3 linked regions of the Elephas maximus indicus genome follow. The protein of the gene in region 2 interacts with the protein of the main gene of each other region in a biochemical or structural test. Links are inferred from orthologs where the notes say so. Each region holds a gene or a part of one and is shown on either strand. Other genes may lie near its edges. The genes, in order: WWTR1, SHANK1 and CACNA1D.

Evidence for each region.
Region 1: the proteins of SHANK1 (region 2) and WWTR1 interact in a test that uses a peptide from one of them, tested with the Homo sapiens proteins (2 studies listed by IntAct, with this or other methods). The link is inferred for Elephas maximus indicus from reciprocal best matches to the Homo sapiens genes SHANK1 and WWTR1.
Region 3: the proteins of SHANK1 (region 2) and CACNA1D interact in a biophysical measurement, tested with the Homo sapiens proteins (2 studies listed by IntAct, with this or other methods). The link is inferred for Elephas maximus indicus from reciprocal best matches to the Homo sapiens genes SHANK1 and CACNA1D.

Annotation. Positions count from the first base shown.
Region 1 is NC_064841.1:10,270,913-10,278,678, reverse strand, and holds the start of WWTR1 (WW domain-containing transcription regulator protein 1), read right to left. Parts: upstream 3,039-7,766; 5' UTR 2,929-3,038; exon of another isoform or gene 2,757-2,928; intron 2,333-2,756; 5' UTR 2,330-2,332; coding exon 1,899-2,329; intron 1-1,898. UniProt on the Homo sapiens protein: Transcriptional coactivator which acts as a downstream regulatory target in the Hippo signaling pathway that plays a pivotal role in organ size control and tumor suppression by restricting proliferation and promoting apoptosis.
Region 2 is NC_064829.1:97,701,409-97,708,699, reverse strand, and holds the start of SHANK1 (SH3 and multiple ankyrin repeat domains protein 1), read right to left. Parts: upstream 3,003-7,291; 5' UTR 2,951-3,002; intron 566-2,950; exon of another isoform or gene 478-565; 5' UTR 435-477; coding exon 180-434; intron 1-179. UniProt on the Homo sapiens protein: Seems to be an adapter protein in the postsynaptic density (PSD) of excitatory synapses that interconnects receptors of the postsynaptic membrane including NMDA-type and metabotropic glutamate receptors via complexes with GKAP/PSD-95 and Homer, respectively, and the actin-based cytoskeleton.
Region 3 is NC_064838.1:57,664,119-57,672,038, reverse strand, and holds the start of CACNA1D (voltage-dependent L-type calcium channel subunit alpha-1D), read right to left. Parts: upstream 3,093-7,920; 5' UTR 2,712-3,092; coding exon 2,648-2,711; intron 1,081-2,647; coding exon 979-1,080; intron 753-978; coding exon 443-752; intron 1-442. UniProt on the Homo sapiens protein: Voltage-sensitive calcium channels (VSCC) mediate the entry of calcium ions into excitable cells and are also involved in a variety of calcium-dependent processes, including muscle contraction, hormone or neurotransmitter release, gene expression, cell motility, cell division and cell death.

The sequences.
Region 1 (7,766 bases), on a different chromosome or scaffold from region 2:
CCATGTGGCTTCTCCTTGCCACTTACAGTAAAATGTGAGAGGAAAGAGAGGGGAAAGAGATGGACTTAAAAATGAATTGTGCAAAATGAAAATAGAAGTTTAAGGTTTGGAAAATTCGGTTGTACAAACTAAGGACATATGGCCTAGAATGCTCGCCAAGGACGTGGCTACACAATCTTTTTTTTTTAGAGATTTAGCCTGTGATTGATGTATCTAACCAAGTACTGAAGCAGAAGCTTCAACTGAAGGGACAGAAAAAGAACTAAAAGGAAAGAACACCGTCTGCCTCTTGGAATTCTGCAGGCAGGAAACAGTCCAAAGGAGCTACATCTGTTGTCCTCCAAGAAAATAAAAGGACCATCCCTGGAGCATCTTGGAGATTAGCAGAACTGTTGGAAGGAGCACAGGAAGCAGGGCCTTCACGGTTTAAAAGGGTGAGGCCACGGCCTCCTAGGTTTCAAACAGTAGGGTGTTCACCAACTTGGTTCCAAAGTGCCGGGTTGCCATTAAGGTGTGCCAGGGGGATGGGGCGACCCCCAAAACTGAGGGGGCCAGGCTGCCAAGCCCAAGGGACAGAAGAATAGGGCCTGCCAGGGCCAAGGGGTTGGGGTCACCAGTCAGATGGACTAGGAGAATGGGGCTGCCCAAAGCCAAGAGAACAGGGATGCCATCCCAAAGGGTCTGGAAGGTGGAGCTGAAGCCCCAAGCTAAGGTGCCTTCACCTGGAATCCAGATGGCAGGGCCACTGCCCAGATGGTCTCAGAGAAGAAAGGATTATTTTCAAGCCTTGACAGCTAATGTGAATTGTTCTGCTGGGTTTTGGACTTGTTGGTGCCTGTTATCCCTTCTTTCCCTCCAATTTCTGCCATTTGTAATGGAAATGTCTACCTTGTACCTGTTCCACCATTGTGCTTTGGAAGTAGATAACTTGTAGTCTAGATTTCACAGGTTCACAGATGAAGAGGAATTTTGTGTGAGGATGGAACACACCTAAAGTCTCACCCATATCTGATTTAGATGATTCAGGAGATGAGATTTCGGACTTGAAGTTGAATCAGGCTTTTGGGATGATGTGATGGGGTAAATGTATTTTGCATGTGGCAAGGACATGAATTTTTGGGGGGGGGCAAAGGACAGAATGTAGGAATTGAATTATGTCCCCCCAAAAAGGTGTGGTAAATCCTATCCTCTGTGCCTATGGTTATAATCCCATTTGGGAATGGATTGTCTTTGTTATGTTAATGAGGCAGGATTAGTGTAGGGTGTATCTTGAGTCAATCTCTTTTGAGATATAAAAAGGTATTAAACACTTAAGCAGAGGAAAGATAGGGTAAGATAGATGCCAAGACACATGGAGATCTCCAAGGAACCAGGAAGCAAAAGCTGAAGAGACAAGGACCTTCCTCCAGAGCCAAGAAAGAAAGCCCTCCCCTAGAGCCAGTGCTCTGAAATTCAGACTTGTAGCCTCCTAAATTGTGAGAAGATAAATTTCTGTTTGTGAAAGCCATGCACTTGTAATATTTCTGTTGTAGCAGCACTAGATAACTACAACAGGGCCTCAGCCCAGGAGTCTGCTTCAGTCCTCCCAATGCAGGAACAGTCACCTGTGAGTATCATGGGAATCCCCCACTTTTCTCCTATCTCTAGGAGTTTCCAAGTCCTGAATCTCTTGAGACTTGCAGGACTCTGGATGAACCTCACCAGAGACTCCCCAGCTTCTGATCCCTTACAATTCCAATACCCAGCCGTTCACTCCTTGCTGCCAGCGTTCACCCAGATCTTTGGGAAAGAACCCTGGAAGGACGTGCACCTTCTCTCTCTCTCTCTCACACACACACACACACAAGCGCGGGCCCCGGGTCATCGTGCCTCTGCTTCCCCTGGCCAGGCTGACTTACTTGAGGAAGTACCTCTGGCCAGTGGCCGTGAAGGTCATCTCCCAGCCTGGGGGCAGCGGCAGCTCATCCGTCACGTCGTAGGACTGCTGGCGAAGGTGCGCGTGCTGCTGCGCGGGGCTGGCCGCCGCGCCCGCACCCGTGCCCAGCTGCAGGGACGCGGGCGACGAGTGCGAGCGGACGTGCTGGGCACCGCTGACCAGTCGGGGGCCGGGGTGGCCGCCCGACGAGTCGGTGCTCGACTGGCGCGAGTGTGAGCCCGAGTCAGGCTCCTTGAAGAACGACTCGGGCAGGATCTTCTTCCGCCACGAGCTGGGCTTGGGGTTCCGGACCGAGTTGAAGAGGGCTTCGAGGTCTGTGTCGAGGTCCTGCGTGACGTGGATCACTTGCTGCCCGGGCGGCGGGAGCGGAGGGGGTCCCGAGACCGGATTCATCTTCTGCAAGCAAGAAGGAAGGTCAGATAAGCCTTTTATTGAAAGCCGGGGAGGGGGAGAAGAATAGAAAAGAAAACGAGGAGACTGATAGATGCCCGCCTCGGGATCGCAGACACGCTGCAGCGAGACCAGGCGGATGGGGGAGGGGTCCCTCCTTGCCTGGAGAATTATGCAACTTTCTTGAAGCCAAGAAGTTCTCGGGAGGAGAAGGAGAAGGAAGGAGGGGGAGGGGAGTGGTGACTGCACGCAGGATGTTGCTGAACCTTCTAGTGGCAAAGGAGAGGTCGCAGCTTTCTAGGACAGACAGACCCCCCTCCCCAAAGAAGTCTAACCCAAGCCAACTCCACGACGTCTCGACTCCGGAAGCCCGAGGAGCCAGGCGCCCTGGAGTGGGGCCGGGCGAGCGGCGCGCTCCAGCCGGCACTACCTGGGCGCGCAGCGAAGCCAAGCCTGGGCGCGCGGCCGCCGCCGGCCAGCCTGAACCCGCCGTCGGGCTGGGTCGCTCGGGTGGGGACCGAGCTCGCGAAGCTGGAGCCGGGGCCCGGCTGGCAAATCCCGACCCACTCAGTGCCTGGGAGCCGAGGGGCTTGGGCTCTTACATCCCCCGAGCCGGCCTCAGGCGCTCGCACTCGGCGAGATGGGCGCAGACGAGAAGCAGACAGCGCGGCCGCCGCGGCTCCCGGACTGTCCCATAAACAAAGTTTGGAGCAAATTCCCACCCCCAGGAAAGAGGCGGGCCCGAAAGTTGAGCTGTTGAATTATGCATGACTCTGAATCCAAAGCGGGCCTGCCCCCGCTCGCCCCTCCCTTTCCTCCTCCTCCTTCTCCTACCCAGCTCCAGAAACCCTGGGCGTGATGGGTACTTTGCAGGGTAAGAGGAGACGGGTGCCCCCCACCCACTCCTCCCGCCGGGCGGACCGTTCCCGCGGAGCCCTGGATCTGCATTCCTTTGAGTTTACCAAGGACTTGGGGCGGGATCAAAGGGAAAGTGGCCCGAGCCTGTTTTATCAAGGGCTTGTGGACCGAAACCAAGGCTGGGGGCGGTGGAGGGCATGCGGGTGAGGGGCCCAGACCAGCGAAGGGCGGGTCCTCGGAGCCGCGCCCTCCCCTCGAGCTGGGTGCCGAGCCCCCGGCACCCCGAGCGCCGCTCGGACTCGCGGCTGTGTCCTAGGGCGAGCTCGGGAGCGCCCCTGCGCGGGGAGCCACCAAGGCTGGCCTTTCCACGGAGCCTGCTTTGCACTTGTGACCATATTTGGTGTGGCGAGGAGGCATCTCGTCGGCTTGGCTTTCAATTGTCTGCTTGAGCGCAGACGGTGCCCAGAAAGCGCCTCTGTCGCTGGAAATGCGGCTTTGCCAGCGGGTGGCCTGTAAACAAACGACCTTCGAACCATTCATCAACCCTTAGTTTCCTCTCCAGGGTGTCTCAGGTCACTAGGGATTGAGAAGAAACCGAGTCAAAGGGTGGGTGCGGAAAGGGGAGAGAGATCGCGCACCACCCCCCTCTTCCGCGCCCTCCGCGCGGGTGGTGGGAGGATTGGAATGTCCCTGACGCCCTCCGGAGAGCCTGGTGCCGGGATGGAACCGGAGCAGGTGGCTGGGAGGGAGAGGGTGCGCCAGTGACCCGGAAAAAGCCACCCACCCCCTACCGACTGGATTTGGCCGAGGGGTGGAGACCCTAAACTAGGGGGAGGAAGTTAAGCCTGGCTAGACAGCTGCGGAGAGTAGGAGGTGACCTTGTCCTCCAGAGCAGCTCACTTCTCTCTCCCTTGTCCCCTCTCCACTGGGGAGAATGGGAAAGTGGCATCGGAGGTGAACTGAGCTCCAGAATCCCTGTACCCCACCCCATTTCATTCAGATAGAACTTTTAAAAATATATAAGGCAATATATGTAAAGCACTACAAACAACACTCGGCCAGGCTCCATAAGTGTTTGTTAAATAAAATAGAATTGTGCAGGTATTGTTCTTACACTGTATTGTAAGGGCAAAATGAAGTCAACATCTGGAGTTGCCCTGAAAAAGTTTAAGGGAAAGAGGAGGCCTCCTCATTGTTTTACCTTGGTGAGGGAGATGTTGCCTTCCAGTCCATTCCAACTCATAGGAACCCTATAGGACAGAGTGAGAACTGCCCCATAGGGTTTCCAAGGAACTGCTGGTGGATTCCAACTGCTGACCTTTTGGTTAGCACCTGAGCCCTTAACCACTGCACGAATTTGGGAGCCACTTGCTAAACGGTTACATCCCTATCACCGCCCAAAATAGAGCAGAGCCCACCAAAGGGAGCCCCCTCTCCCCTTGTCTGTACTAGAAGTGTTGATCTGATTGCAGACCCCTCACAGTTTGGGAAACACCAGGACTGCCTTAGAGAAAGACAGCCACATGGATCACTTTGAAAGGTAAGGAGGCCATGGCTTCTTTGAGGAACCTCCAGAACCCCATGTTTTCCGTACAGTAAGTCCTCTACCCACAGGTGACTGAGGGAAGTGGGAGCTAGCACAGGTTATGCCATGAAGTAGCAGCTTTGCAAACTAGGGTCAGAATCCCCCATAGCTGCCACAGTGGGGAAATAGAGAAGGTGCTGGGATCAAATGGCTCTTGATTCAGAAGCAACACGGCTGACTTGATGATTCAAGGATGGAAACTGAGTCCCGCCTTGCTACAGAAAGGTCCTCACCCCTGAAGGAAGCTCCTGCTTTGCAAAGAAACCTGGCTGCCACAGAGAAGCATGTGCTGAGGAGCCACAAGGCTAATCAGCGGGTGAGAGTTAGGGTTGGGATTGGATGGGCAAGGCTGCAGTCTTCATTCCTTGCCATGCTTCAAGAAATAGACAATGGGGGATGCAGTAGATACCAGAAATTAAAACTGTCCTGATTACAGGATAACTCAAAGGGAAAACTCCGAGTTCCCAAACAGCCTGGGATATGATAGTGGATGATTCGAAAGACCCGTTGTCATCCCAGCCCTTCCAACAACAGCTTCAGATTAAGCTCTACAGTGCCTTGTATGTGTCAGGTACTGTGCATTAGAGGCAGCATGGTGTGGTGGGTAAGTGTAGACCTCTGCGGCAAAATACCTGGGTCACCTCACGCAACATACTCAAGCTCTGTTCCTGGGGTTTTTCTTCTCCTTCCTCTTCCTCCTCCTTTTTTTTTTGTCAATTAGAGACAATAGCAATGCCCACTTCACAGGATTCTAGGTTAAGACAATGTTGGCCCATGATTTAGAGCACAAGCTCCAAAGTACCTAGCTCTACCCTCTACCATGGGCAAGGAACTTAGCCTCCCAAAGTCACAGTTTCTTTATCTGCAAGTTGGAAATAATAATACTGTGTTAATGTGCAACATGGAGCCCTGATGGCACAGTGGTTAAAAGCTATGGCTGCTAACCAGAACGTTGGCAGTTCAAATCCACCAGCTGCTCTTTGGAAACCCTATAGGGCAGTTCTATTCTGTCCTATAAGAGGTTGCTGTGAGCCGGAATCCACTCAACGGCAACAGGTTTGGTTTGGTTTTGGGTTTAATCCATTACATTTCTGGCCTTCAATGAACAACCCTCCTGGTATCCACACCCTTATGTAATCCCTTCCATTAAATCTGGACTAGACCTGTGACTTGCTTTAACCAAGAAAATGTGGCAGTGAAGCTGTACTAGTTCTGCCCATAAGCTCTAAGAAGGTGTGGAAGCTTCCTTTTTTTTGCACTTTTGAGAGAGCTGAGCCGCCTGGTAAGAAATCCAAGTGGGAAAAGCCCTGAGATACTCGGAAACTGGGAGAAACCCAGTTATTGCGGCATCTGAGCTGAACCCAGCCCCCAACCAGCCCACTAGCTGATGGCAAACACATCAGTGACCACCAGGAAGACCAGCAGAAGAACCACAGAGCTGAGCCCAGTCCAGGCTGCAGAACTGTCAGCATATAAACTGGGTATTATTTTAAGCCACTAAGTTTTTGGATAGTTTGTTATGCAAATGTGCATCCTAAAAATTAAATAAGAAAATGCGAATAAAGTTTTTAGTAAAAACCCTATTATATACTAAAAACCAAAAAAAAAAAAAAAGAATCCGTTGCCTTCAAGTAGGTTCTGACTCACGGCCACCCTATAGGACAGAGTAGAACTGCCACACAGGGTTTCGAAGGAGCAGCTGGCTGGTGGATTCAAACTGCTGACCTTTTGGTTAACAGCTGAGCTCTTAACCACGGAGCCACCAGGGCTCCATCATATGCCAAAGCACCCAACAAATAATGGCTGCTACTTAAGTCTCAAGAAGACTAGTAGAATAGATAATATACTATACATCTTTGTTTTACAGATAAGAAAACTGGCCCAATGAAATTAAAACTATCTCATCCAAATACATACAATTAATTTGCAGAAACAAACGAACAAAAAATCCGAGATTCATCCCAGGGTTTGTAACCCCAAAGCAGAGAGCTTTTTTCACTCTCCCATCCTGGGTGTTGACCTGTGTTTTATTGACTATACAAAGGCATTCGACTGTGTGGATCATCACAAATTATGGGTAACATTGCAAAGAATGGGGATTCCAGAACACTTTATTGTGCTCATGAGGAACTTGTACTTAGAGAGGCAGTCGTTTGAACAGAACAAGGGGATACTGTGTGGTTTAAAGTCAAGAAAGGCTTGTGTCAGGGTTGTATCCTTTCACCACACCTATTCAATCTGTATGCTGAGCAAATAATCTGAGAAGGTGGGCCATAAGGAGAAGAACGTGGCATCAGGATTGGAGGAGGACTCATGAACAACCTGCATGATACAGATGACACAACCTTGGTTGCTCAAAGTGTAAAAGACTTGAAGCATTTACTGATGAAGATCAAAGACCAAAGCCTTCAGTATGGATTATGCCTCAACATAAAGAAAACAAAAATCCTTACAACTGGACCAATAAGCAACATCACAAACGGGGAAAAAATTGAAGTTGTCAAGAATTTTATTTTACTTGGGTCACAACCAACACCAACGGAAGCAGCAGTCAAGAAATTGAAAAATGCGTTGCATTAAGCAAATCTGCTGCAAAAAAACCTCTTTAAAGTGTTAAAAAGCAAAGATGTCACTTTAAGGACTAAGGTGTCCCTAATCCAAGCCATGGTGTTTTAAATCACCTCAAAAACACATGTGAAAGCTGGACCATGAATAAGGAAGATCGAAGAAGAATTGAGGCCTTTGAATTACAGTACTGGTGAAGAATATTGAATATACCATGGACTATCAGAAGAACAAACAAATCTGTTTTGGAAGGAGTACAGCCGGAATGCTCATTAGAAGCAAGGATAATGAGACTTCGTCTCACATACTCTGGACATGTTATCAGGAGGGACCAGTCGCTGGAGAAGGACATCATGCTTGGTAAAGTAGAGGGTCAGTGAAAAAGAGGAAGCCCCTCGATGAGATGGATTGACACAGTGGCTTCAACAATGG
Region 2 (7,291 bases):
GCCAGGAAGAGGGTGTGTCAGGGGCCAGGGAGGAGCCTGAGGTGGGTTGGGAGGAGATGAAGGGCTGGGGGAGGGCGATGATGGTACTGAAGGCAGGAGGGGGACAAAGGGGCTTCCTGGGAGGGCACCCAGGATCAGAGGTCCACCCATGTCCCCCTGTCCTCCCCGCGGTCACTCACCGTCTGGTGCAGATCCGGGATGCCTATCCTGAAGACCATCATGCTGAAGTGAGCGTCGTCGGGGACAGACATGGAGCGGCCCTGGAGGCCTCGCACTGAGGCCAGACTACCAGGTGCCCCGCTGCCCCGGCCCCGGGTCCCCCGGGGGCCTCTCCCGGGCCCGTCTGGGGAGCTGTCGGACTCTGAGCCCCCCTCGGGACACTCGCTGGCACTGTGGCGTTCCTCGTCCTCGCTGGACGCGGGGCTGTGGGGCATCGTGGGGCCACGGGGCGACGGGGGGTGGCAGCATCACAGGCGGCTGCGGGGGCCAAGGGAAGCCGTCAGACTAGGAGCCTGGGACCCCTCAGAGGACCCGGGACCAGCGGCCACGGGCGCACCTCATTGCATATATCTGCCGGCAGGAAGTAGGCTGGGCACACCCCCAGACACTCCGCCCCTCGGCCGCCTCCGCACGCGCACGCACACGCACACACCCCCAGCCCGGCCACGCTCCCAGCACATGTCTCCTTCCCTGCCCTTGGCCTTCCTCGCAGCCCCCCGCCCCCCTGCGCCCCACTTTGCCGCTGACCCAGCGTCGCTGTGTCCCAGAAACCGCAGAATCACCGCGGGAGCTACTGGCCCACTTTGTCAGGCCACAGAAAAGGCAGCTAAAATTAGCAGAGGACAGACAGGTGGACTGAGCGGCCGGCATCCTGCCCTCCTGGCCCTGGCCTGGCCCCTCACCCTGGGCCCTCCCTTCCTCTTCTCCTGGGGAGCTGGGGGGAGGCTGAGGCTGCGAGGTAGTAAGGGAGAGACGGAGATGCTGGCAGCCTGGGGCGGGAGGAGCGGGTGCTGGAGCAGGTGGGGCTGGTGACTCCACAGGCGTGTGGCTGCCAGCGTGTGTGTGCACAGAGCTGTTAAGGGATTGACCGTCCCAGGAAAGCAAGTGGGCACCGAGATGGGGTGTCACAGGGCAGGGCATCGTGAGTGGGCTGTTCCTGAGGGAATCACCAGAGGTGGCCTAGGGAGGTAGTTGGGAGTATCCTGAAAGGGCGTGCGGGTGGGCGAGAGGCTGACCCCGGGAAGACCAGAGATGTGGTGGCCTGGATCGGTGTCGGGCGGCTGCGGGTGACCTATGGGTCTGTTCCAGGACTAGCGCTGCTGGCGGGTGGATTGGCATGGACTGGTACTGGTGGCTCCACTCTGTGGGGGGGTTGGAGGGCTGGTAGGGAGACTAAGAAGTGGGGTGAGGGTCTGGGGACTGGGCTGGGAGGCCATCTGCAACCCCCCGCTGTTCTTCCTGAGGTGGCCTTATAAGGATGGGTCCCAAGTGGGGTCCTCTTCCCCCATGTTCTCCCCCACTCCCACCCCAGCACCGGAAACCAGGATGTCTGGTCTGGTCCCTCCCCCCCACGCCAGGCCCAGCTCCTGCACGGTTGCCATGGAGATGGGAAGCAGTGGAGGGTACTGCTGACTTTGGGGGAGTGGGGATGGGCTGAGGGGTGGGGGAGGGAAGACAAAATGTGTATGGGGGGCAGGAGAGTTCCAAGAGCCAAGGCGAGCGAGCATCTAAGCACCAGCCGGCCAACCCCTCCCCCACGAGGGGCCAGCGCTTCGTAGCCCCCTCCCCCTCCAGGTACCCAACAGCGCTGCTCCACCCTGCCCTTCCGGGGACCCCGGTCTCCTTCTAACCCTTCTCCCGGCGCTCACCCAACGTCCCACCTCCGGCCCTGGGGCCCCGCAGCCACTCCCCCTTGACTGACCCTGGCTGACCCTCAGCTTCAGTTCAGCACTAAGGAGGTGACTGAGTGGATGAAAGGAGAGCCGGCCCTGGCCCCCCGCGCGCGCGGCTGTCCCCAAGCCCCTGGACCAGCGCCGGCCCCTCCCCCTCAGGCCCCGAGGGAGGGAGCGGGCACACTCCGCCGGGGCGGCATGAATCAAACGCTCCTCGGCTAAGAATAGCTGGCACGCAGCTGGTACCGAGACGGGCTGAGGAATCGGCAAGGGGGGTGGAGAAGAGGAGAGAGGGGGTGCCCTGGGAGGCTGCGAGGGGACGGGGGGCTGCTGGCGGGGCCCGAGAGCCGGCCCGGGAGAATGAATGGAGGCGGGGAGAGGCGGGGAGAAGGCACTGGGGCTCAGGCCGAGACACTGGTGGGGGAGAGCTCTGGCCGGAGAGAGGGGGCGGGGGCACCGGGAACGGGACTCGGGGGCGGGAGGCGAGGGGGCGCGCCGGCCGGTGGAGCAAGGAACAGAGACGGGGTGGGGGTGGCGGGAGCATGGGGAGGGGTGGAGAGGGGATAGGAGGCGCCTGGAAAGAGAAGCAGGAGTGTGAGAGGGTCGAAGGGGGCGAAGAGACAAAGGCCGAGACCCCTCGCCGAGGTGGGAATTGGGATGATCTGGAGAGGGCCTTGAGCTGTGGGACCGCAGGAGGGGGCTAGGAGCCCATGTGGTCCAGGGTGGGTGAGGCGGGGGAGTGGCCGGCAGGGCCAGGAGGCGGGCACGGCAATCGAGCCCATGGCCCTGGAGCACCGGGAGGCGGGTTCGGGCTGGGGGCGCTGCTGGCGGGATATAGGGGTGCATCTTCCCAGCCCGGCTGTCATCTGGGACGGGACACGGGGGACTGGGGCATAACCCACTTTGGCGTCGCCCGGGTAACGCTCCCCTCCTCACCTACACCCCACACCCAGGCCCCGGAGCCCGGCGCGCGGCCAAGGACATTCGGGGCGCCCCTGCCTCCTCCCTCAGCCTTAGCCCCCCCGTTCACCCAAACCCCGGATCCCCGGCCCCCTTACCTGCCTGGCGGGGCTGCAGAGTCCCGGTCGGCGGCGCCCGTGGCCCCTCCCCCCTCCCCCCACCCCCCACCCCCCCGGAGACGGGGGACCCTCAGGCCATGCCCCACCGCCCCGGAGGGCGAGCGGGCCCGGGGAGGGGGCGGGCGGGGGCCGGGGGGGAGGGCGAGGGGGCCGAGAACCTCACCCCCCCCCGCGGACCGGGCTTGGCCATCCGCAGAGCGCCCCCCCTTCCGCCGCGGCCGCCGCGCCCCTCCTCGCCGGCCCCCGGCTCGGTCCGGCCCGCTCCGGGCGCCGCGTCTCCGCCTGTCTTCCTCCTCCTCTTCCTCGGGCCGCCGCCGCCGCCGCCCGCTCCGCGCCTCTTCTGCCTCCCTTCTCGCTCTCTCGCTCTCGCTGTCTCTCCCTCACCCTGTCTCTTTCTCTCCCTCCCTCTCTCCCTCCCTCCCCTTCCTCCGCCCTCTCCCCTCCCTCCGGGAGCCGGCGGAGGAGACATCGCCCCTCCCTGCGCCCCCAAACCTCGCCCATCCCCCCCACCGCTGGCTCCACCCCCTCTCCAAGCCCTCCCCCCCACTCCTCCCTGCCACCGGGTCCCCATACCCTGACTCCACCCCCACTGGCTTCCATACCCCGAAAACGGGCCCCACCCCCCTGGGGTACCCCATGCACACCCCAGGGCAGCCCCTTCCCAGAGCGCCGCTCACCCCCTCTAAGCACGGTCGGGTGCAATAAATATTTGTTGCTGAGATCTACACCCCAAATTGGATTATGAGGGTTGTAGATCCCTGTCCCCTTCTCCCCAAACACACACACACCCCTTCTACGGGAACACAGGGCACATGTGGACACACCTGGTGGCATACTTGAACACAGGCACAGCAGGGGGCCCCCAGGCAGACATCCCACTTAGACAAGCCCTGCAGGGCATGCACACCCAAACACAATGCACCTGGGTGCACCTTACCCAAACCCACCCAGCTTGAACACAGGCATATCAGCTCATGGGCCACGGCAAACCTGCTGCCTGTGCGCACGCACATGTAATCCCCCATTCCTCACAGCGCAAATCGCCACATTCATGCCCAGATCTGCAGCCCGAAACAGGAGGCACCCAGCTGTAAGGGATGGATGCATGCATTCCCAGCTCACTCATTCCCCACCTGTCACTCAGGTACTTACGCACACACGAATTCAGATGCCCACCACAGCCATGGCCTAGCTCCCCTTCGTGACAATATAGCTGACATTTACAGAGACCTTCCTGTGTGCCAGGCTCTGGGTTAACTCATCTACTCCTCACACAACCCTATGGGTGAGGAAATTTGATCATCCCCATTTTATAGAAGGGGAAACTGAGACTCAGAGAGACCAAGTAACTTGCCTGAGGTCACACAGCTAGGCAGAGGTGGTGCCAAGCAGGCTGGCTCTAAAGCTGTCACTCAACCACTAGTCCATCCTGCCTGGCACACACGTAGTTGCACATTCTCATTCATCCCATGCATATACAGACATATCCAGCTCGCATGTGCACACATGCACACAGCACACATAGTGTATGCAGATAGCTCATTCATGCCCAGAACACACCCACAGGCACAGGGCAGGTGTCAGAGGGCAGTGAGTGCACGTCCTGGGGGCCCAGGCTGCCACCTGTCTCCCCAGCCCCAACAGGACCTCCAAGGCCACCAGCTTGAGCACAGGCACCTACAGTTCCAGGCACCCTCTGGGTGTACCTACAGCTACAAGCACTCCAGAGTTCCCCCCCCCCCAACCACCACCACCATGAGCTAGAGCAGAAAGACCTGCTTTTGATGCACACCCGGCCCAGGTGGTGAGCAGCTGGGCCTGGGGAGAGAACAGCTGCCCGTGTTGGTGCCAGCAGTGAAAGAGGTTGCACAGCTCTCTACAGTTTACAAGGCCTTTCCCGGCCTATGCAGGGGTTCTGGGCCCTGAGAGGCTGGGGCTCTAGTGAGCAGCCTACCAAGGTCACACTGCCCTTTGCTGTGTAGCAAGCTTTCTTGGAAAACCGAAGGCTGGATGTGTTCATTTCCAAGGCCCCTCCTGGGGCTCCCGGCAGCTGAGGGCAGATGCCCTGCTCTTGCTCAGAGCCAGAAACCTTGGCTAGCTGCCGCCATGCTGGTGACCTCCAGAAGGCCACAATCTCCCCTCCCTGAGCCTCGGTTTCGTCCTTTGACAAGTGGGCCCCGTGATCCCTGGCTAGGGTGCTCCATGCTTGTTGGCAAAACCAGCTCAGCCGTGGCTGGGGAAGCCCTGGATGACTCACCAGGCCTGGCTGGAGCAGGCTTGGCCTCTCCACCTCCTCCCCCACTGCCACCGCCACCTACTACAGGAGACTCGGGGTGTCACCTGAACAGCCCATCTGCGACCTTGGGTGTGTCAAGTCCAGTCTAATGCAGGCAGCCTGGCTCCTCGGAGCCCTGATGGTTCCCCAGTTCCTTGGCTTTAGCTGTGGGGCTCAGAGGGGCCAAGAGGGGGGTGGGAGGGAGGCTAGGGAGACTGACCTTTGGTCAAGCTCTTACCCTGCCAGGAAACACAGCCTCAGGATGCTTCCCCAGACCCCCAATTTTAACCAGCTTACAGCCCCTGAGCTATTCTGGAACAGTTAAACCAGCTGCTGCAGAGCCCAGTCTGACTCATGGAGACCCCAGGGCGTCAGAGTAGAACTGTGCTCTGTAGGGTTTTCAATAGCTGCGGTCTTTTGGACATAGATTCCCAGGTCTTTCTTCCAACGTGTCTCTGGGTGGACTTGAACCTCTGACCTTCTGGTTAGCAGCCAAGTGCATTAGCTGTTTGCACCACCTAGGGACTCCTCTGAAAAAACAAGACCGGGGTGCCCTCAAGTTGATTCTGACTCACGGAGACCCCAGGACACCCCAGACACAGAAACAACTTGTGGAGGGGAAGTTTCTTTAAATGAGGTGGGCAGAAAAACTGAAACCCAACCCACTGCTGCTGAGTCGGTTCCAATTCACGGCAGCCCCCTGGGGTACTGGGTAGAGCTGAGCTCCTAGGGTTTTCTTGGCTGTAAGATTTATGGAAGCAGATCACCAGGCCTTTCTTCCAAATCACCTTTGGGTGGATTCAAACTGTCACCTTCAATTAGTGTTGTTTTGTTAGGTGCCATGGAGTCAATTCTGACTCTTAGTGACCCCGTTGACAGAGTAGAACTGCCCCATAGGGTTTCCTAAGCTGTGTCTCTCATGGAGCCGCTAGGTGGGTTCAAACCGTCAACCTTTCGGTTAGCAGCTGAGCACTTAACTGTTGCACCACCAGGGCAGTAGTAGTCACATTGAAACCCAAACCATTTGCACCATGCAGGGACCTAAGGTGGGCAGAAAGCCCTCAACAATGAGAAGAAATTGGGCAAAGAGCGTGTAGGAGGAGGCAATGGCTGGCACAAAGGCTCTGGAGTGGGGGTGAACTTGGCATTCTGTAAATAGCAGAGACCAGTGTGGCTGGAGCTGGGGGGTGAGGGGAGGGGAGATGGTGCAAAGGGTTCATCCTCCCCAGCTCAGCCAGGCTAGCCAGGCTGGGTTTGGCTCCACTCCTGCATCTGATGGGAAGCTGGGGGCGCAGGGGAGTGGGGAGTGACGTGATCTGACTTACTGGTGGGAAAGATTGCTCTGGCTGCGGCAAGCATCGTGGATTGGAGGGGCTCTGGAGGAAGGAGGGGGAGAGCAGGGAGGAGGCGACTGCAGTGGTCCAGGCAGGAGACAGGCACCTTGCCAAATGCTCAGAGCTCTCCATGAGCCCAGCATCTCCTCCACCTTCTGAAGGAACCTGTCCTGACCCTACCTTTCCCTGCTTGCTCCCTCCTCCACCCCCACCTCCTCTACTACCCCTCAGCCCCAGCCTCTCACCAAGTGGGACTGTCTGTCCAAGTCCACTTGTCCGTGAGCAGCTGGAGTACCCAGCACGGCCTGGCCCGGGTCTGGTCTGCAGGAGGCATTCAGTAAAATGTGGTAAATGAACCCTGGGACACATATGTGTCCCCACAGGCATAACTCACCCACATACACGCACCTGGGACAAGGGCTTGGAGGGTGGGAATAGGAGATTTGAGGGCAGGAATCACCCTGGAGCCTGAGACTGGTTGGAGAGATCTCTCTCTTGGGATGTGTGGGCGATGGTGGCTGGGGGTAATAACAACCTTAGCTGAAACCCCTTCCTCAGGAATGGCTGGGGGTGGGAGAGAGGGGAAGGGGACAGGGCCAAACCATTGCCTGGTCCTGAGGGGCCCTGGTGCTGGCCCAGGCTGGGCCTGCCACCCTCGAAGAAAGCCAGTCCCAGGCTCTTCCTGGCCCTCTGAGCCAGGGTAGAAAGGAA
Region 3 (7,920 bases), on a different chromosome or scaffold from region 2:
AATTGGCGTAGCTTCTTCATAATAGGTTCAATGCATGCCACTGCCAAAAAACAACAGTGGATTTTAAACTAACCACAGAGTATCAAATGACCAGACTACTTTTCATACTTTAATTATCTGCCACTTTGAAGTTTTAGGCTGCTACTCCCTCCCCCATCACTCTACACACACACACACATACTCCCTCCCCCCATTGCTCTACACACACACACACCCCCACCCACCCACCCAGAGGGTGGGCTAAATATACCCACAGAGCCAGGCCTCTGCAACCCTAGGAGATCTGAAGGTATATACAATGAAACCCCTTCCACACAGCTTCTTCTGTGGTTCACATTCCAGACCGCTGCAGCTTTGGTAAGTGCCATTTCAGAAAGCAAATCCTTTTAAAGAACAGATGGTAAAAGAGAAAATGAGAAAGACTTTCCAAAAAAAAGGATACTTCCATTCCACTATACTAATGCAGGCTCTTCGGATGGGGTTATTGAGTGATAAACAGAAAAGGGCACGGGCAGGTCGGCTGTTGGACGAGTTACCCTGTTTTTTGCTCTTGGCGTATTGCTGACGTTTTCTTTGGGAGAGAGATCCTACAGGTGGAGGCGCGGAGGTGCTCATAGTTTGGGCAGCCTTGGCCTGTCTAGCAGCATCGATTGCAGCTTGCCAAGACAGGACAGTCTGCTTGGAGCTATTCGGCTGAGAAGTTGGTCCTTCACCAGAAAGAGGGAGTCTGGTGCCTCTTGCATAGTTTGCCTCTGGGGAGAAGGAAAAGAAAAATAACAATGAGTATCTAGTGTCTAGAAAAAAAGCCAAGCTTGTGTCCAACAGAAACAGGGGGGATCACACCCATGGGCCCACTTTGAACTTCATGTGCTGTGTTTCAGAAGCAGGGATTTGGTCAGCCAGAGCTGCAGGAAAAGTCCGTCAGCTCTGGCCTGAGTGTCGGTCGGTCACCCAGGAGCAGTACACCATTACACTCACCATCGTTAGTGCCCCTCCACACCCGTGTCTTCACCAGGAGTCGTTTAGGCATTTTCAGACAAACTGAGGTCATGCCCACATTTATTCCACACTCTTTCCAATCTGTAAAACCCATGTATCTCTAATGACTTAACAGATACGTACAACAGCTCTGCTCTACAATAACTACCACCACTACAAAAAAGGGGGGGGCAGTGCCAATAATTCAATAATCTTAATCATCTCTCCAATATCTTTCCACAGCCATAATTGCAGTTCTTTCAGCATGAAAGAAAAAACGAAAAATCCTCCACAGGCACCCAGGCATTACCAAAAGCCCCGTAACAAATATCTAGATCATGCACTGACGCTTCCTGCAAATGAAAATTCATGATGCTTGGGATTCATTTCCTCCACAGGCTTCCGAAAACAGAAAACATCTTTAGGGCTTTTTTGCATTTTAAATTGCAGCAGCATCAGCCAAGCCAGCATCCAGAGAGAGGCAGGCACCCTGCGCTCCTACACCTAGGATGACAGCCTGGGTTATGACAAGGGCCCTCAAGGCCTGAACAGGAGTCACCTGAGTGCAGTCTGGCACCCAGGTGCACAAAGGGCAGAGCCCCAAGGGAACCTTCTGTGGGAAGCCCCCACTAGCTTTGAGTCAGGTCAAAGCCCAGGCAGGTATCCTAGGCATCTGCACCCACTCTTGTCCAAAATTTCTTTATGAGGGCAGAGACCAAAGTGAGAGGTAGGGGCATGAGCGTTTGAAAAACCAATTACTGTTAAGTGAAGAGCAAGGCAGAGTCAAAGCAAGCACGGGTCTGCTGCCCAGCAGCCTGAGAAGGGGGCAGAGTGGGGAGGGCAGCTGACAGTGGGAGCCCAGGATGAGTCGTGCCAAGCCCTCCCTTGGAGAGCGCTAGCTCAGGAAGGCTTCGAGCCCAGTGGGAGACGGAGAGGGGTTGGTGACCTCCAAGTAAGAGGGGGGAGGGCTGGCCAGGAGCTGCTCCAGCCTCCCTAGACAGAGCCCCGGCAGGTGTGGAAACTGCACGTGGTGCCCTGACTGGGGAGGGGAGCCCCACAGCGGCAGCGACTCCCCGGGCATTGCTAGGTTACCGACAGTGCCGGCACCGGGAGTGGGAATACACGCTCCATCCGCCCCTCCCCCCCCCCATTTGAGACCTGGCCTCCCCCCGCAAGGGGAGGGGTATGCTTCACCCACCGGCGCGAAGAGTGAAACCCGGCAATCCTAGAATTTTCCGGATGCCACCAGAGACCTTCCCAGTCAGCCAGGGGGCGAAGGAGGAGAGGAAAGGGAGAAGAGGCTAACCCCACCACCACCTTCATTACTCGGCTGCGTTGGTGGAAAGTTGAGCCCGAGGACACTGAACCCGAATCACCTCGGCTCGCCCCTCCTGCTGCACAGAACACCAGAGACTCACGGCCGCCCCCACCCCACAAATGCAGAATTAACTCCGACATTCAGGGCCTGAAGGGGAGAACGGAGTGGTTTTTTCACGCATCTCTCCCTTCTATGTAGATGACACCGGGCAAGAAGCATCCTCTCCAACCCCCTCAACCCACCCAGGCATCAGAGACGGAGAAGTGTGGGGCGGGAGGGGGCGAGGGGGTGAGAAGAGGGCCATGACAAGGATTAGATGTGGCAGCGGGTGCCCAGGCTCTGGCTGCTCACCATTCGCGTGGTCCGCTTGCTGCCGTTGATGCTGCATTTTTTTCATCATCATCATCATCATCATCCACGAACATTTATTGAGCGCCTACTGTGTGTAGGGCACTGTGCTGGGCGTCGGGGCGGGGGAAGAACGGGGAAGGGGGTTACTAATAGGTGGGAGCCGCGGTCCCTGCCCTTAGTCTTCCTTCAGCAGGGGGTGGGGAGAGACGGGGACAAATAACAGAAAATAAGGACAATTTAAAAAAACTGCTCGCCACCCACGATCCCTCTTTTTCAAAAAAAATGGAGCAAAATAAACTTTTTAAAAAAATAAAATCCGATGTATATATTATCTTAATAATATATACATGCAATTTTTTGCTGCAAAGGAGAACCGGCTTGGTCCCCTCTCTAGCGGAGGGACGCCGCAGAGATGCCGGCCCGGCCGCCGGGGCCGCACGGAGCGCCCCCCATGCCCGCCCGCCCGCCCGCCCGCCGTCGCCGCGGTGCCCGGTGCCCGCCGCCGCCGCCGCCCGCGCCGCCGCTGGCTCGGGACCGCGGGCAGCCCCGCTCACATCCGGGGACGGAGGCAGGCGCTCGCCCGCCCGCCCGCTCGCCGGCTCGCTCGCTCCGCGCCCGCCGCGCCGCGCCGCGCCGCGCCGCACGCCGGCTTCGCCCTGGCGACGCTGCGCGCCCGCCGTCCCCTCCCTCCCCCGCCCGCCCGCCCGCCCGAGCCTCCCACGGCTGCGCCGCGCCCCAGCTGGGGGCGGCCGGGCGGGCTCTTCCCGCACGTCCCGTGGGGTCGGGGTGGCCGCCGCCTGGGACTCGGGCTTCTGCCACCGCCGCCTGCGCCGCTGACCTGACGGAGCCAAAGGGTTAAGCGCGCTCCGGCCGCGGGCCGCCGGGTTAACCCCCTCCGCGCCGCAGGGTTAGCTCCCCCCGCAGTCCCCCAAAGGAGGCGGGCGGGGCCTGTGGATCCCGCGGCACTGAGGTGCGGGTTAACCGCTCCTCCCCCTGCATTTTTTCCGGGGCGGGGGAAGGGACCTCGGGGTCCCAGGGCTGGCCTCGCTAGGCTGTCGGTATCATCCTCCCCCTCGGCACACCTGGAGGAGGCCCCGCCCCTGGAAGCACAGGTGTCGACGCGCCCCCCTCGCGGGGCTCTCTACCTGGCTCTCCTACAGCTCCGGAGCCGGGCCGGCGCCCTTTTTACCTTTGGCTCTTTCTAGTCGAGGAGGGTGGGGGAGCCCGGCTCTCCGGAGAGCACTCATTGCCCCCAGGTAGCCGCACCTTTGGATTTAATCGGGTTTCCAGAGCGCACCCCCTTCCCCCTCCTCAGCCCTGCGCCAGATCTGGCGCCGCGGACTCTAAGGCTCAAAGGCAGTTGGGGAGGGGGGGTGCTTGCTCGCTCTTTCTACGCGTGTGTTTGGAGGCAGGTAGTAGAAAGTAAAAACCAAGATTTTTCAAAGCGCTTGGGTTGCCTATAGAAATAGGTAGTGCTGCTGAAACTGTTGACTCCCCTCTGGGAGCTGTGGAGAATAGCTTTATGATACCTTCATTGCCTTTTGTATTTGGGGGTGGGGGTTGCAAACGGCAGCTCCTGTCTAAAAGGAAAAATACTGTATCTAGTGGATGACCGATAATTTCATTTAGCTTTGTGCTATCATAGAAGCGTGTCTGCTTTGTTACTTCACAGGATTCAGTTTATTTGCTTTTGTTTCCATCTACATGTTCCTACAGCGTTTTAGAACTGTTTTTAAAGCAAAAAAGCTCAGGGTGAATTAAGAAAATTAAAGTGTTTATAAGAAGGCACTCTTTGGCTAAAGAAGGCACACTGCGTGAACAACGGGGGCATGCACAATTTTGGGGGGCATCTGGGAGTGGGGACCAGACATCCTTCCTGAGAGGGGTGTCCAGACGGGAAGGATAGAGGAACCCTCTCCTTTTTTTTTATTTTCATGTTTTGGAGAGAAGCAGCAGAGGAATAGCCCTGTGGTGTAGTAATAATATAAAGCTGGCATGCGCCACCTCATCTAAGGCTGCTTCTGAGCCAACAGCTGAAGGAATAGAAGAAGGTTCCCTTCAAAGAATTCCAAGGACTCCTCAGGCCTGAAGCAAACAGAAAATCTCCAGTATACCTGTCACTTTCAGGAATCCAGGTCTAAAGCCTTGCCTATTGAGACCTTTTCTACAAAATTCTACCCTGTTTGCTTACAATTCAATTCAGTTCAGCCGACATTCATAAGGCACCTGTGTCTGGACCAGGTGTTGTCAGGACAAATCTGTGATACAGAGGGTCCCTCAAGGACATAAGATCTAGTGGAAAAAGAAAAGTGTGTCTATATGTCTAATACCATACAGAACATAGGAGGTATGAATAAAATAAAATGGTACAAAGAAAGTACTATGCATGCATCAAAGGGATTAATTATAATTGGGGGTATCTGACAAGTTCTCACAGAAGAAACATTTTACTTGCTTCTTAAAGAGCGGTAGAAATAGGAGTAACAGGAACAAGCTTTTGGGGAAAAGCAGAAGGGAGATGGGTGTGAAATGTTGGATGAGGTTGACAATAAGCAGGAGTACACTGTGGTTGAGCCACAGGCTGCCTGGACTGTAGGAAGGAAGGAGGCTGGAAAGACAGACTCAGACCCAGTCAAAGATGGCTTATCCATCCTTTCTGCAGTGGAAGTCAGTGGAGGTTTTTAAGCTGATAAGTGACATGATTAAAATTGTGACAAAGGTCTCCCTTTAAAAAAAAGGTTTTACCTTTTAGATCTAAATAAGTTTATGGAACTAGAGTTTTTAAAGTTATTCTGTCCCAGCTTCTGAATGAGTGCCATCCTTGAAATGTCTCCAGCAAGTTTTTTGAGGGCCCTCATTCAGCTCCATGGCTCTGGAATGTTTGGTACATTGGGTAATTTAAACATTACTGAATAAATAAATAGCTAATCTTTTTAAAGACTTCCTTTGTGTAGACGTTTAACTATAAGACAGAAACCCTGGTGGCACAGTAGGAACTAGTAATACCTTCATTTTATAGATGACAGAACTAAGGCACTGAAGGGTTAAGTAACTTGGCCAAAACCATACACAACTACTCAGTGGCTGAGACAATAAACATAAGAAAATACTAGAATAAAATGTTTCAGCTCTAGTCAGCCAAACCTGGTAAAACCCAAGTATGTCATTAATACACTGTTGTGTGGTCTTAGTCCCCATGCCATTATATATAAAACACTGCCACTTGAAAGCAGCGAGATGTAATTTCAGATGTGGTTACCCTGCATGTATTTCTAAAAGCCTTGCTGAGAAGCCCATGCCACAGCCTTACCACCTTATACCCCTGGATCATTAGTTAGATGGCCCATCTCCATTCCACCTCCCACAGATAATCCATCTTATATTCAAAAAACACCAAGTCACTACCCTAACCAAAAAATATTATGAGCTCTCCTTTCCTTCCATGTCCAGTCTAAACTCCTCTTGCTAGTTTTCAGCCTTATCATTTCACACCACTCGCCTTCACTGTGGTCAGCATTCTCATTAAGCCGTGAACACGCTATACTCATTTCTGATTCTCTGCCTCAGCTCGTGTTTATTCTCTGACCTGAAATCCCTGCCTTGCTGACCCCAACGAAATCCTCCCTATTTAACAAGACCCTGATCAAGTCCCTACCTCCTCCCAGAAGGCTTCTCTGATTACTCCATCCACCTATATGTATGCAGCCCCGTCCCTGAAGTCCTGTAGCAGCTAGTTTGCCCTCTGACTACTGTACATACCGTTTGTGTCTTGTTTGATTGCTTCTTGGCCGTAAGTACTCTCTCCAACCACAGTGCAAGTCTCACCTCCTTAGCCCCCTGTCCAAACTGCCAAGTGTTATGTTCACAGCAGATACTAAATAACCTGCACAGAATCATAAAAGCCCATAGATGTGACTAGAAATTGTTAGCTAATATTTACAAAAATTCCATAACATTGATGGCAGGACACTTAGCTCTAAGATGGTAAGAATACAAAATGGATGGAAAATTGGATCCTTTGCCCTCCAAGAATTCCAATTAAGGAAGACAGACAAACAGATCCTGAAGGTAATTGTAAAGAAAGCTAATATGCAGAATATATCCATAAACATACTGTGAAGTTAGATCTGAAGAAGGCTGTCCATCCACAGGCCCTTGTGCTAAGAACCTAGCCCTGACCCACTAACAACCGGTACAGGTGGACAAAGCGGGTGGGCACATGTGTTCCAGGTAGAGGTGCCATATCTACAACGTCAGAGGCAGAAAAGTCCAGAATATGTGTATAAATCAGTAAGTAGGTAGTTAGGCTGCAACCTAGGGGTACTTAGAAGTGAGGCTGCAAAGGCAGGACGGAGCCAGATCGTAGAAAGTCTATAATGTCCTGCTTACAAGTCTGGGTGTTATCCTGTAGACCAAGGGTTCTCAAACTTTTGGGACCCAGGACACATTTACACTCTTAAAAATTATCTAAGACTTCAATGAGCTTTTGTTTATGTAGATTATATCTATTGATGTTTGCCATATTCAAAATTAAAACAGAACATTTTTAAATTACTAATTCATGTAAACATCATAATAAGCCCATTACATGTTAATATTTTTTATGAAAAGTAACTCTGTTTCCCAAAACAAAATAGTGAGAAGAGTGGTACTCTTACATTTTTGCAAACCTTTTTAATGTCTGGCTGGATAAAAGACAACTGGATTCTCATATCTGCTTCTGCATTCAATCCATAGTGATAGAATGTTTGGGTTGAAGTATATGAAGAATATCTAGCCTCACACGATACGAAGTTGAAAAGAAGAGGTAGATAATTGTGGATGTTCTTCATTGATAAAACACTAAAACTTGACTCTTAAAGGTTAGTCGAAATGTAGAATTTGAAACTATTTTAGTGAAATATTTCACGCTTTGTAATATTTCAATGTTTTGGATTCTGTTAATGGCCTAATTTATGGCCTAATATGTGGTCTGTTCTGGAGAATGTTCCATGTGCCTTGGAAAAGAAAGTATTAAAAATATGGAATGCTTCACGAATTTGCATGTCATCCTCGCACCGGGGCCATGATAATCTTCTCTGTATCCTTTCAATTTTAGTATATGTGCTGCCCAAGTGAGCACTCATACTTTGTTACATTAAAATCTATCAGTCTATTTTGCACTTTGAATGGTAACATAACACATTGATCATTTGGAAATTATTGGTTCAACTGGAGCCCTGGTGGCACAGTGCTTAAGAGCTTGGCTGCTAACCAAAAGGTCAGCAGTTTGA